Linked DNA regions of Mus musculus: all the other regions are reported to be linked to region 3. The links are microRNA targets in miRTarBase. Many come from high-throughput screens and were not tested one by one. Region 3 holds a microRNA gene; each other region holds the end of a gene's coding sequence.

Evidence for each region. Region 3 holds the annotated microRNA mmu-miR-362-5p (AAUCCUUGGAACCUAGGUGUGAAU, at 2,194-2,217, shown strand). A microRNA usually pairs through its seed, bases 2 to 8, with sites in the 3' UTR of a target mRNA and lowers its output. Matches are read on the target gene's strand: a 7mer-m8 pairs with bases 2 to 8, a 7mer-A1 pairs with bases 2 to 7 and ends in A, and an 8mer does both.
Region 1: miRTarBase lists Oxct1 as a target of mmu-miR-362-5p. The part of its 3' UTR that is shown has no 7-base or 8-base seed match.
Region 2: the mRNA of Dram2 is a reported target of mmu-miR-362-5p. Seed matches in the 3' UTR shown: 7mer-A1 at 836-842 and 7mer-A1 at 1,574-1,580.
Region 4: the mRNA of Islr2 is a reported target of mmu-miR-362-5p. Seed matches in the 3' UTR shown: 7mer-m8 at 948-954.

The regions. Positions count from the first base shown.
Region 1 is chr15:4,153,258-4,156,340 of GRCm38, reverse strand. Oxct1 (3-oxoacid CoA transferase 1) reads right to left here. Exons shown (of 17, transcript NM_024188.6): 17 at 997-2,613. The coding sequence ends at 2,572. Among named protein-coding and RNA genes, the nearest start is that of BC037032, 130 kb to the right of the region's middle.
Region 2 is chr3:106,573,087-106,576,169 of GRCm38, forward strand. Dram2 (DNA-damage regulated autophagy modulator 2) reads left to right here. Exons shown (of 9, transcript NM_026013.3): 9 at 489-2,255. The coding sequence ends at 599. Among named protein-coding and RNA genes, the nearest start is that of Cept1, 27 kb to the left of the region's middle.
Region 3 is chrX:7,241,153-7,244,235 of GRCm38, reverse strand. Mir362 (microRNA 362) reads left to right here and starts at 2,190; the gene lies at 2,190-2,254. The region is part of intron 2 of Clcn5 (chloride channel, voltage-sensitive 5); the gene reads left to right. It overlaps Mir501 (microRNA 501), which reads left to right and starts at 2,885; the gene lies at 2,885-2,993.
Region 4 is chr9:58,195,118-58,198,200 of GRCm38, reverse strand. It overlaps Islr2 (immunoglobulin superfamily containing leucine-rich repeat 2), which reads left to right. Exons shown (of 3, transcript NM_177193.5): 3 at 1-1,904. The coding sequence ends at 463. Among named protein-coding and RNA genes, the nearest start is that of Islr2, 5.6 kb to the left of the region's middle.

The sequences.
Region 1 (3,083 bases), not on the chromosome of region 3:
CATGGAAGGAGTTACAGAGACAAAATTTGGAGCTGTGAGGAAAGGATGGACCACCTAGTGATTGCCATATGCAGGGATCCATCCCATAATCAGCTTCCAAATGCTCACACCATTGCACACACTAGCAAGATTTTGCTGAAAGGACCCAGATATAGCTCTCTCTTGTGAGACTATGCCGGGGCCTAGCAAACACAGAAGTGGATGATCACAGTCAGCTATTGGATGGGTCACACGGCCCCCAATGGAGGAGCTAGAGAAATTACCCAAGGAGCTAAAGGGAACTGCAACCCTATAGGTGGAACAACAATATGAACTAACCAGTACCCGAGAGCTCTTGTCTTTAGCTGCATATGTATCAAAAGATGGCCTAGTCGGCTATCACTGCAAAGAGAGGCCCATTGGACTTGCAAACTTTATATGCCTCAGTACAGGGGAACGGCAGGGCCAAAAAGGGGTAGTAAAAAAATAAAAAAAAAATAAATAAATAAAAAAATAAAAAATAAATAAAACAAAATGCAGAGATAGCAACACACAAAAAATATACATAAAGAAAAAGTCATATAAAAATTAATATATGGAGGCTTGATAATCAATTTTCAGAGGTATGGGTCTCAGTGATGGGGCGAAAGGTAGAGCAGAATTCAATTAAGTAATATTTCTTTCACTTTCTAGAAAAAGAAATATATGTATTAGGTAAGGTAAAAAGCAAATCTAATGCCAGGCATGGTGGTGCCTTTGATGCTGGAACTCAGGAAGCAGAAGCATGTGGACCTCTGTGAGTTCAAGGCCAGTCTGTCTGTAGAATGGGTTCCTTGACAGCTAGGACTGCTCAGAGAGACCCTGTCTCCACACTCCCTCCCCACAAAAGAAAGAGACAGAGACGGTAACAACGTGGTAGAAGTAGAAGCCTGCTGACCTAATGACCAATGGTTGTTAGAATCAACCTTTGAGGTGTTTCTCACGCACCATTCCCAAATAAGAGGACACACACATTCGTCTCCATCAACTTGCAATTTTTATTGTGTCATTTAACACATTTTTTAAAAAATATCATGGCACTCTTAGAAAGTTGTCTATTCAGGCTTTGAAGTTTAAGACATTCTTAGAAGCCCCTTGCGTTAAAGTAACAGACCGGAATGATAAGCAAGTGCGCCTGAAGACATATCAATATCAGCAAGATGATTTCTCAAATGTGTGCTCTAACATACGTACTCTCCTGGGCCTTGTACCATCTAAGACGGGTTCTTCTTACCAACACTGGCAGAGGATGCTTTCAGCCACGTGGCCATCCACTAAAGCAGTCCTACCTAGAGGGTGTACTATGGAGGAAAAGCTTATCTCCCCTTCACAACATGTGCAAGCTAACTGTGGTTATGCTTGAGGAGTGAGTTCCAGTGCCAACCATCACCTAAGACGTGTATAAATTCCTCTAATTAGTGCCAGAAAGACGATACGTTTCACTGTGCAGACGCCAGCTGTCCAGTCTGGCTTCAGGGTGCCTAGGTTTTCAGATATCTGATACCAAGGCAAGGAAGCTTCTGGAGTGATGCCCCCTGGCAACTGTCTGTATTGTGGCTACTTCTGAGGAAGCATCCCTGATGAATGCAAGCTACTGCATTCACTCTGCCACACAAACCCTGCTAGCCACTCAGATCTGAGCCTTTCCCATCATTTCCCCAGCACAGATAAGGCTAAAGCAGTAGCCCTTTGTGAAGAGAACTAACCTATGCAGAATACCACTGTAGTGTAAAAAAGTAACTCAGTGTTTACAATCTTTGCTGAGCAGAATGGAGAGGCTAAAGGGGAGATATCTTGGAATATCATCTCTTTAAATACTGCTGTCACTATGATTCAGGACTCATGATCAATTGCCCATGGTTCTTTTTTTGCTCAAGAGATGTATAAGTAAACATTGGTGATCAATACAGAAAAACAGTCTTCAGAATACAAAGGTATAGCACACCATAGGTAGACGGTTGGTTGTCTTTAAAGGCAACATTTAGTGGGATGTCAGCACCAGCAGAGCATATGCCTTGTCCTTTCTTCTACTTACTTTTCACAGGGACATTCCTGTTCGCTTTTTCGAGTATCTATTTAGCTATAAGAAGTGTGGAGGGAAGGAGGACTTTCTAAGAAAGCAAGCATAACTGGCATCTCTCAAAACAGAGGAAGGTAAAAGATACATAGTCATCAAAAAAGTATTCTACCAAATCACAAATGCACATGAAAATTCACCTTCAGGGCTAAGTCGAGGTTTAATACATATAGCATAAAAGATGAGCATATATCCACTGTGAGCAACAATGATAAAGACAACCTTCTTAGCACTCATGAAGCAAGACCACAATAAAATGTTTTCCTTTTTTTTTTTTTTTTTCCCACGGAACTGATATATCACGATGGAGAGAACAATGTCTATGGCTGCACAAATCCAGAAATACTAGAAGAAAACTAGCCGAAACTTCTTGCTAAATGTGTAATGTAACTATTGATTACTGACATCCTTCCGTTTAAATCCTATGTGTTGAAAATGCAATCTTGGCAGCCTGGGACAAATGTTCAGTGGATGCTTCAAGTTGAAATCTGCTGCATTGGCATGAGGTTTGGTGAAACCTGATGGGAGAAAGATGAAAACAAAATAATTATAAAGTTTACTCTACCATAGAATGTTCAAGTACTGCTTCAATTTGTTTTTAATAATTTCATTTTAAATTAAGAAATAAAAACTAAAAGATATGTTAAATTTCAAAAGTAATCCACAGATACAACATAAGGAATCCTATTTTAGATTACCTAATTGTGCATCAGGGAAGAAATAAGTAAATAATCAATTTAACTTAATATACACTGCAAAAGACACTTCAGAGATCATGGACTTGAAGCAGTAGAAAATCACTCCCCGTTCCCTAGTTTGGCCCTCCAAGCACACAAGGACTAATGCAAGGATAGACAAATTGAAAGGTTCAGGGCAGGTTAAGCCAATCAACATTCCTTCATGGTTAAGAGAGGGACTCATGAAACTTCACATCTAGCTGAAAAGAGCTACTGGCAATTGATGGCTGCTAGGGAGGAAGGAGGCGTTT
Region 2 (3,083 bases), not on the chromosome of region 3:
AGTAGAACTTCCTTCATATAGAATAACAGAATATTTCATTGACAATCTCCCTGTTCATTTTGAAAATTAGCATTTTAAAATCTGGCACCAAAGAATGTGATATAAGAGTAACTTCTGGTAAAATTATTCCTGGGTTTGAGGAAGTTGTGTGCTGCAAGTAAGCTTCCCCCTTGATAATGTAGTTGCAAAGCATATCTGAAGAAATTCTATAATTTATGTTTATTCACCTAGACCCAGCCCTAACACATGGCTTTACGGGAAAAAAAAAAAAAAAGAACTACAAAAGAAAAATAGGAAACTTAGTGAGGCAAGAACGTGTTTTTTTCCATTTCCCTGGGTGCTCAGGATGGTGCCTGTGGCAGAGACTTCCTGTTCCCCATCTGATCATTTTGTTTTTCTGACTACATAAGGGTTCCTGTGACACACAGTGAAGAGATAGTCTCTCAGAAGGGCAAAACTTTTCTATATAATTTTCTTTTCTGTTCCAGAAAATTACTTTGCGGGTGGAAGCCAATTTACATGGATTAACCCTCTATGACACTGTTCCTTGCCCTGTTAACAATGAAAGAACACCACTGCTTTCCAGAGATTTTCAGTAACTGGATATAAGTCTTCTGTGATGATTGTGATTCTCAGGGACTGGGAAAAGATGCACAAAAGTTGCTTATTATACTGTGAAAATTTGAATCAATTAATCAAGGCTGACAGTGACACTAATGAAACATGATATCAGGAAAAATGTAATAAGCCATCTGGTAAGTTTTCTTAAAGGATGTTGTTAAGAAGTCCATCTAAAAACATGTCTAGACTTTTTTATATCCAGAAAATAAAACCAAAGGATAATATCATTGTAGTGTTTGCTACTTTATCAATGAAAGCCTGAAGTACACCGAGTAGTCTCTATACTTGGCCTTAAACATATTATTTTAAAAGTATCTTTTGTTAGGAGTACTTTTATGAGAGACATTTTCCATGGCACACCGTAATCAGCATTGGTAACCAAATCATTTGGAATCACGGCTTAAAACTGAAGTTTTATTATATTAATACATTTCTTACAGTACTTAAAAATGTGTTGCTGTTGTTGTTGTTGTTATTGTTGTTGTTGAATCTTTTCTGTAAATAGGAGCCTGCCTGAAATAATCTGAGTTCTTTGATGGCTTAAATTTTGCCTCTCTGCACCCCCAAACAAACACAAAATCAATGGGTATTTATTCTGGCCACATGAATATTAACAGATCTATCATATATGCTTATAATAATTTCATCAAGTCTGGTCTCTGAGATTAGAATTTTTAATTACCAGTAAAAGAGAGAGATTATTTGCAAATTTGCTACCATTTTGTTCTTTATAAAATAAAGGTTACAGCTGATGACATTGTTCAGTAGTGTAAATTACTTGCTGCTAACCCTGACTATCTGAGTTCAATATGTAGGATCCACATAGTCAAAAGAAAGAAAAGTTATCCTTTGGCCTTGACCTCCATATGCAAATACACATACACAATAACTAAATGTGATAATAGAAATAAACATTAATGTTCCTAAATAAGGTTGCAAAGTCTGTAAACAAAAGGATATGATTATTAACATAAAAATTACATTATAGTTATAATCTTTGATTTTTCATTTAGAGAAATTTATACTTAGTAGTAAGATTAGTTTTGATCATATATTTAGTCTTTTTATTGGAATGTGATCCTTTTGAAACCTAAATCTGAAGAAGAGACTGAAATCCAAAATAAAATTCTGAATCTTTTTCTCTTGTCATGAAAATGATTGTAAAGTTTCAATTTAGATCTCTGTGTAGATAAAGGATGGTTATACAGGATGGTTTCTAAATGCCTACTAGGATTAAAAAGAAGGAACTGTCCGGGCGTTGGTAGTGCACGCCTTTAATCCCAGCACTTGGGAGGCAGAGGCAAGCGGATTTCTGAGTTCGAGGCCAACCTGGTCTACAGAATGAGTTCCAGGACAGCCAGGGCTATACAGAGAAACCCTGTCTCAAAAAACAAACAAAAAAAAAAAAAAAGAAGAAGAAGAAGAAGGAAGTGTTGACCTAAATAATATCCAGGGTCAAATTAGTTTGTAAAGTAATCCTTGATGAATACTAACATAATTTATATTTTTAGAAGAAATAGGGCTGAAACCAGAAGAAAAGATGGTAAGGAAAAGTTTAAAATATATCAAGAAGGAATTTAAGGAAAACTGTTTAAATGATGGAGATGTAGACTTCAGTTATAAGTTGTTGAATCTCAAATTCCTTAACAGTATTTGAAGAAATAACTTAGATTAATAGAGAAATATAGAGAAATAGAGTATTTACCTATGGGAAGCTACAGTCACAAGGGAGACATTTTAGTAAAGATTGATTGATTGATTGATTGATGTTGTTACTAGAAAAAAATTGCTTATAGATCATGATTAAGTCCTTTAAAAAAAGCATGATGTAACCACATAGGGAAAATATCTTTTTCTGTAGTTTTCTCTCTACCAATAAGTTAAGTTATGAAGCATCCATGGTATTATGAGAAGTAAATAATACTGAGTAATAATTCATAGAGTAGAAATTCTTGAAAGTAAATCCCTTGCCAGGTCTGCCAAAGACAGCTATGGAATAACAGGTGAAAATGTTTGTTTGTTTGTTTGTTTGTTTGTTTGTTTTTTAATTTTCAGAGTTCATTGGAGAATTCTTACAAGTATTTAGGTTACATGTAAAACTAAACCATAAATAGACACTTTAAAAAAGAAAACACACAGTCAACTGTGGTCTAAAAATATTAAATGAATATTACTAGAACTCCACAATTGGTAAGTTTTAATTGAGTCTTGTAATGAAATCTTGTATCATGTCACCTGGTCCATGAATCATCCCTTTGTCCCTAAGACATGTTATGTATTCTACCTTTAATGGCGTCCCACTTGTCAAATACAGTGCTTGTGATTGAGAAACTTAGAAAATTGGACATAGTACTACCGGAGGATCCAGCAATACCTCTCCTGAGCATATATCCAGAACATGTCCCAACCGGTAAGAAGGACACATGCTCCACTATGTTCATAGCAGCCTTATTTATAATAGC
Region 3 (3,083 bases):
AAAACAGCTTTACCTACTAGGGACCAAGCACTCCAGTATATGAACCTGTGAGGGCAATTTTTATTAAACCACCATGGGAGTGTATAGTTAAACTAATAAGGATTACTAGGTGATGAAATGTTATGTGACTACTATTGTATATGTAGTTTGTGGCTTACCAAACACCATGTAGTATGTGACTATAGTTCTGATTGTATGATAGTGTGCTGATATGTGGAGCCAGTGGTAAGTTGGGCAGTCCAGTCTTTGTAGCATGTGCATACAGGAGGATGAAAATCATTCTCACTGTGTACGATCACATATACATGCCTGAGAAGCTGCAGGATGCACTTCCTTACTTTAGCCTCCACTTTCTAAGTGTCAAACCTGATTCATCACGTTCTCAGCACACATAGGCAACCTTCAAATGCAGAGGCCCACTGACAGCTTAGCAGGAACAGAGTCCTGCTCCCCTAACCTTGTTCTCTTACACCTCTAAGGAAGGGTAGTGGGCTCTCTTGGTTTTCATCTTTGACGGAGCTGTTATAGGAAGGTATACTTGTTTGTTAACACTGACATTTTTGTAAACACATACCTAGACAGTCATAGATATGCTTTTGCATCAGCTGGGTAGATAGGAGAACAAATATGAATGAAGCCCATCTATAGCTAGGTGTACATCATATATAGGCCCGTGAGCATAGAAGGTTTCTTTTGTTTGATACACTTGTTTTCTCATAGAGAAAAATGCCTTACTGTCATTCATTTATATTCGCTCTCCCCCCTTCTCTACTTCTCCCCTCTCTCCTTACTCCTGACTCTCTTCACTCTCTGTGACATATAGTAGGAAAGTGAAAGATTGAAACTTGTGATTTTGTCTTTCATATCCCTCACAGAAAGGGGTGTGAACTTCGTTGATTTAGGCACATTGAAGAAGAATTACCAGAGAGCCAGTCCTTGCATTGCCTTTTACAGATTCTCCGAGTCACTGATATTCATGCCTCCTTCACCTGGCTTTTGCATATATGAGTATGACCATACTATTGTAAACAGGACATTCATTTAGACACATGTGTACAAAAATGGTAGTGTAAGAGGTAAAAATAATAGCCAGGGGCCAGGTCCTGCATCCTACTCTAGGCTTGCATCTTACCTAATTTTTTTGGTACTCTTTAAAGAGATAGCATTTGTTATTCTCATTTTTTAGAAGTAGTCCATGACCTTGGAGAAAGCAGGTAGATTCTTTAATCCAGTACATGGTGAAGTATAGGTTTGAAACAGGGTTTGTAGATACCAAACTCCACAGTTTCTCTGTCTTATCCATGATGCTGGTAAGGTCCCCAGCATCACCCAGCCCCTTTTAGAAATACAAAATCTTGAGCTCACTAATGAGAAACCTCTGTAAGTTATCTTAGTACCAAGTCCTCCAGGTATCTGAAGTAACTTTAACAAGATGCTGATGTGTGTTAAAGGATGCCAATCTCTACTGCCATCTTGTGAGCTTATGGCCTCTTCTCTCTGTCTCTCTGTCTTTTTTTCTTTCAGTATTTTGTATCTCTGGCTTTATATTTTTATAATCTCAGAACAAAATATGAATGTATATATTTAGACAGGTTTCTCTGTCTCTGTCTGTCTGTCTGTCTGTCTGTCTCTCTGTCTCTGTCTCTCTTTGTCTCTGTGTCTGTCTGTCACTCTGTCTCTCTCTCTCTCTCTCTCTCTCTCTCTCTTTCTGTGTATGTGTGTGGAGGGTGCAGAGGTCAACCTGAGGTGCTTCCCCTTTGGGGACATCTACCCTGTTTTTTGAAACAGTCTCTAATAGGGACTTGGCACTCACCAGTTAGGCCAAGGGATCTAGCTTTCTTTGAGTCCTCACGCTTGGCTCTTTTATGTGGAGGCTGGGAGTTGAACTCAGGTGCCTAGACATACTTAATGTGAAGCTCAAGAACATTGTCTTCTTTCTCATCACAGATAAGCACCTTGTGTCAAAGGTGAGCCCATGCGTTCATTTGCTGTGAGCCTTTTGCCCTGCTTCAGTTCTCTGATCCTTGCTACCTGGGTGAGAGTGTTCTTCAGCAAGGATTCTGAGAGCCAGACCTTTGTGTTTGTAAAGGACAGAGCGCATCTCTCGTTCTCTTTTAGTGTGTTGCACACAAGCATATTGACCACACACAGGAAGGGCAGGTTCCTGAGCCTTCTTGCTTGCTCCCCCTCTCGAATCCTTGGAACCTAGGTGTGAATGCTGCTTCAGTGCAACACACCTGTTCAAGGATTCAAAGAGGCTGAGCCTTGTCTGCGTGTAGAATGGCCCATACTTGCACATCTCACCTGCCACCTTCCCTCCTCCTGGCCACCATTTGATTTTGGTTTTAGCTGTCAGACTTGGTTCTACACATTTTCTAACAGCAAAATGGTCTTTATCATGTTTGGTAGACATGCTTCTATTCTCAGCATGAGCTTTCTTGATTCCCAGTTTGCTAAGTGTCAGATCATGTGATGAGGAGCACACATTAGGTGCTGCTACTCAGGCAACCCGTTTGTTACATCCAGTGATAACCCCTGTTCCACAAAGCTTGAATTGTATAAAGGCATTGGAAAGGAATGGAGTATCCTCCTCCACTGTGCCCTCTTTCAGTATGTATATGCATTCTCAGATCCCAGCCTTCTTGCTACCTTCCAAACATAAATCAGGCCCCCACAAATTCTCAAGTATGATCTGGGAGAGATACCATTTTGTATACGTAGAAGTTTTCTCTGAGAGAGGATGCTCATGGTGGGAAGGGGGCAGATACATATATAAATCAGGGATGTCAAGCTTGGGTATAGGTGGTGATGCTTGGCTGAATCAGGACAAGGAAAATTAAATATTATATACAGAACCACACAAACATGGTACAGGTGCCTGGGCCTTCTGCTCTGCTCATCCTCTCTAATCCTTTGTCCCTGGGTGAAAATGCTATTTGTATGCAATGCACCCGGGCAAGGATTTGGGGAAGGTGAGCCTGATCTGCATGGAGAAGGACAGGAGGTCTGTGCATCATATCTCATCTGTTTGCTGCTTGCATACTTCTTTTATGCCTCCCCCCACCTTCTTTCCTTCTACAAAT
Region 4 (3,083 bases), not on the chromosome of region 3:
TATCGTGACCGTGAGTGTTTTTCTCCTGGTGCTGGCCACCGTGCCCCTGCTGGGTGCCGCCTGCTGCCATCTGCTGGCCAAACATCCGGGCAAACCCTACCGTTTAATCCTGAGGCCACAGGCCCCGGACCCTATGGAGAAACGCATCGCGGCCGATTTCGATCCGCGTGCTTCCTACCTTGAGTCTGAGAAAAGCTACCCTGCTCGTGGCGAGGCGGGAGGTGAGGAGCCAGAGGAGGTCCCGGAGGAAGGCCTGGATGAAGATGTGGAGCAGGGGGACCCAAGCGGGGACCTTCAGAGAGAGGAAAGCCTGGCGGGTTGCTCATTGGTGGAGTCTCAGTCCAAGGCCAACCAAGAGGAGTTCGAGGCTGGCTCGGAGTACAGCGATCGGCTGCCCCTGGGAGCGGAAGCAGTCAACATCGCCCAGGAAATAAACGGCAACTACAGGCAGACAGCGGGCTGAGCCCCCAGCACGCCTGGCCTGCCCACCTCCACCTTGGGTACCTCGTAGCCTAGGGACGGCAGGACTTTAACACCCTCGCGGGACTCCGCCCTACCCCCCAAGCCTTCAGTTACTCTGCCTCCTTAGCCCTCCCCAGGGGTCACTACTAGGGATTTCTAGGAGTGGGCCGAATTCAGGGGTCATTCTTTTGGTGGGCTTGAATCCCCATCCCCACCCAAAGCACAGAGTCAGGCTCCTACCTCCTCTAAGACACCACCCATGGGCGGCGAGAAACCGTCTATGCCTTCCATTTCATCACGGCGATCCACGAAACCCATCGCGCACCCCATCTGGTGGAACTTGGAGACAAGGGGAGAGCGCCACGCCAGTCGTTGACCACATTTGGTGATAATAATAGGGTTGGTCCAGCGTTTGCCTGGGATCCCCAGGACAGGTCCCCAGCGTGGAGCGCTGTGACTCTCACTTTGATCCCACTCTGCCTTTTCAAGGATGCATGTGCCAGAAGCCCGCTAATTTTTATTCTCACCGCTCCTTTCCTATAATGATCCAAATCCGCGCGTCCCCCCTCCCCATTCCTACCCCACCCCATTTCTGTCTAGTTGGAGCCAAACTGGGGTCCTGGTAGGCCTTTCAACTCAGCGCACTGATTTTCTTATTTTCGTTGTTTTAAAAAGCAGCGACATTTCTGGGTCTGGTGCTAATACCCCCTTCCCACCTTCTGGGAAATTGGGTGTGAGTGTGTCAGGTGTGAGTGTCGGAATCTCTTTGCTTCCGGCTCTCTCCTAATTTCAAGCGCTCCGGAACTGCGCGCCCTTTTCCTCGCAGGGTGCGGCCTTGGTTCCCGGGCCAGTTTCGTCGTCAATGTCTTGCAGATGCCAGAGGCTGGTGCGTGCCACAGTGACTCTTGCTACTCCATGGGGTTCAGACCCCAGCAGGAACGTGCTGGTGGGTACAGGGAGCTGTGACTCCCGGGCGCATCTCACGAATGGGCCTGCCTCAGGCCTGACCGAGGCAGCAGGGGGGTTGCGAAGCCCGGGAGGGACACCCTAGTTCCCCACGTCTCCCCTCACCCCAGGAATATAGAGTTTGCTCAGCGTGTAGTCCCCGCCGAGCGTGGGCTATAGACTTCTGTGTCCGTAAAGTGTGCCGGTGTAGTGTAGCGGAGCTGGGGGTGGGGGATGGGGAGCGGGTGGGCAGGTGGACGAGGAAGGAGGGAGGGAGAGGGCGGGAGTGGCGAGGGGACTCGGGTGGGGTTTTAGTTCTTTTAGGAAAAGGTCAGGGGGTGGGGTTTCAGGCGTCTGGACCAAGGCTCTGGCTCTGGCTCTGGGCGAAGTGCAGCACAAACGTGGGTGACCCGGGGAGGAGTTGACCCCGGAGCCCATGTCCTTTTCTAAATGCTTCTGTATGTAAACTGTCAATAAAATAATCGATTTGAACAGGACTCGGTGAGATTTTTGGGGTCGGGTGGGAAGTCAGGGGACAACAAAGGAAGGAAGCTGAGGGTTGAAGGCGGAAACCACCACAGAAGGAGCTTTTGGGATTCCTTGGGCATTTGCCTGGTGATCAAGTGAGTTTTCCGGGTGTTTGCCCTAGCCCCTGATCCGGGGTTTCTCAGCTCCTGCCTGGAGCTGAAACAGCTTGGGGTGGAAGGAGGCTGTCAGAGAACAAGAAGGGCTCTCAGGGAATGAGCGGCTGCCAGCACTGGTCCACTGTTCTCTTTGGGTTGAGACTGTTGGAGTACTGGGCTTTCTCTGTCTCTGTCTCTCTGTCTCTGTCTCTGTGTCTCTGTCTGTCTGTCTGTCTGTCTGTCTGTCTGTCTCTCTCTCTGTGTTCTGTTTCTCAGCACCACCTTTTGAGTTCTCTGGGAAGATGTGGGGGATGGGCAAGGGGCAGCTTGGGGAGGAGAGTTCCTAGAGGTAGGACTGCTGTGGTTTGCAGAGAGAAGTCACACCACACATTTCAGAACAGGCAGGTGACTACAGAAAGTGAAAGGTTGCCTAAAGCTCACTCCACTGGACAAGGTGAAGTCAGTGTGTGTGTGTGATGTGTGAGTGTGGGTATGTGTCAGAGTATGTGTGAGTGTGTGTGTGTGTGTGTGAGAGTGTGGCAAGTGTGTGTGTGAGAGTATGAGTGTGTGTGGCAAGTGTGTGTATGAGAGAGTGTGATGAGTGTGTGTGGCAAGTGTGTGTGTGAGAGAGTGTGATGAGTGTGTGGCAAGTGTGTGTGTGTGATGAGTGTGTGTGTATGTGTGTGTGTGTGAGAGAGAGTGTGATGAGTGTGTGTGTGTGTGTGTGTGTGTGTGTGTGTGTGTGTGTGTGTGTGTGTGTATGTGTTTCCAGGGTGGTTAGGAGTGTTCCATCAGTGATGGTAATGTATGGGCAGCTGTCAGGGGCTGCTGAGCTGATATAACACAGAATCAGGTCTGAAATCACACTGACTTATTGTTCTACAAATGGAGACTGGGAGACAAGGGGTGGGGATCAAGACTGGATGTTGCACTCCCGACCAGCCAAACTGCTGAGGCTGAGCTTCCTGTGGGTTTCATCAGTGCCTGGAAAGGGCAAGATGTGATTGGAAAAGGAGCCGAAAGGGAAAGAAGAGACTTGAGGGGTTAGGTGTG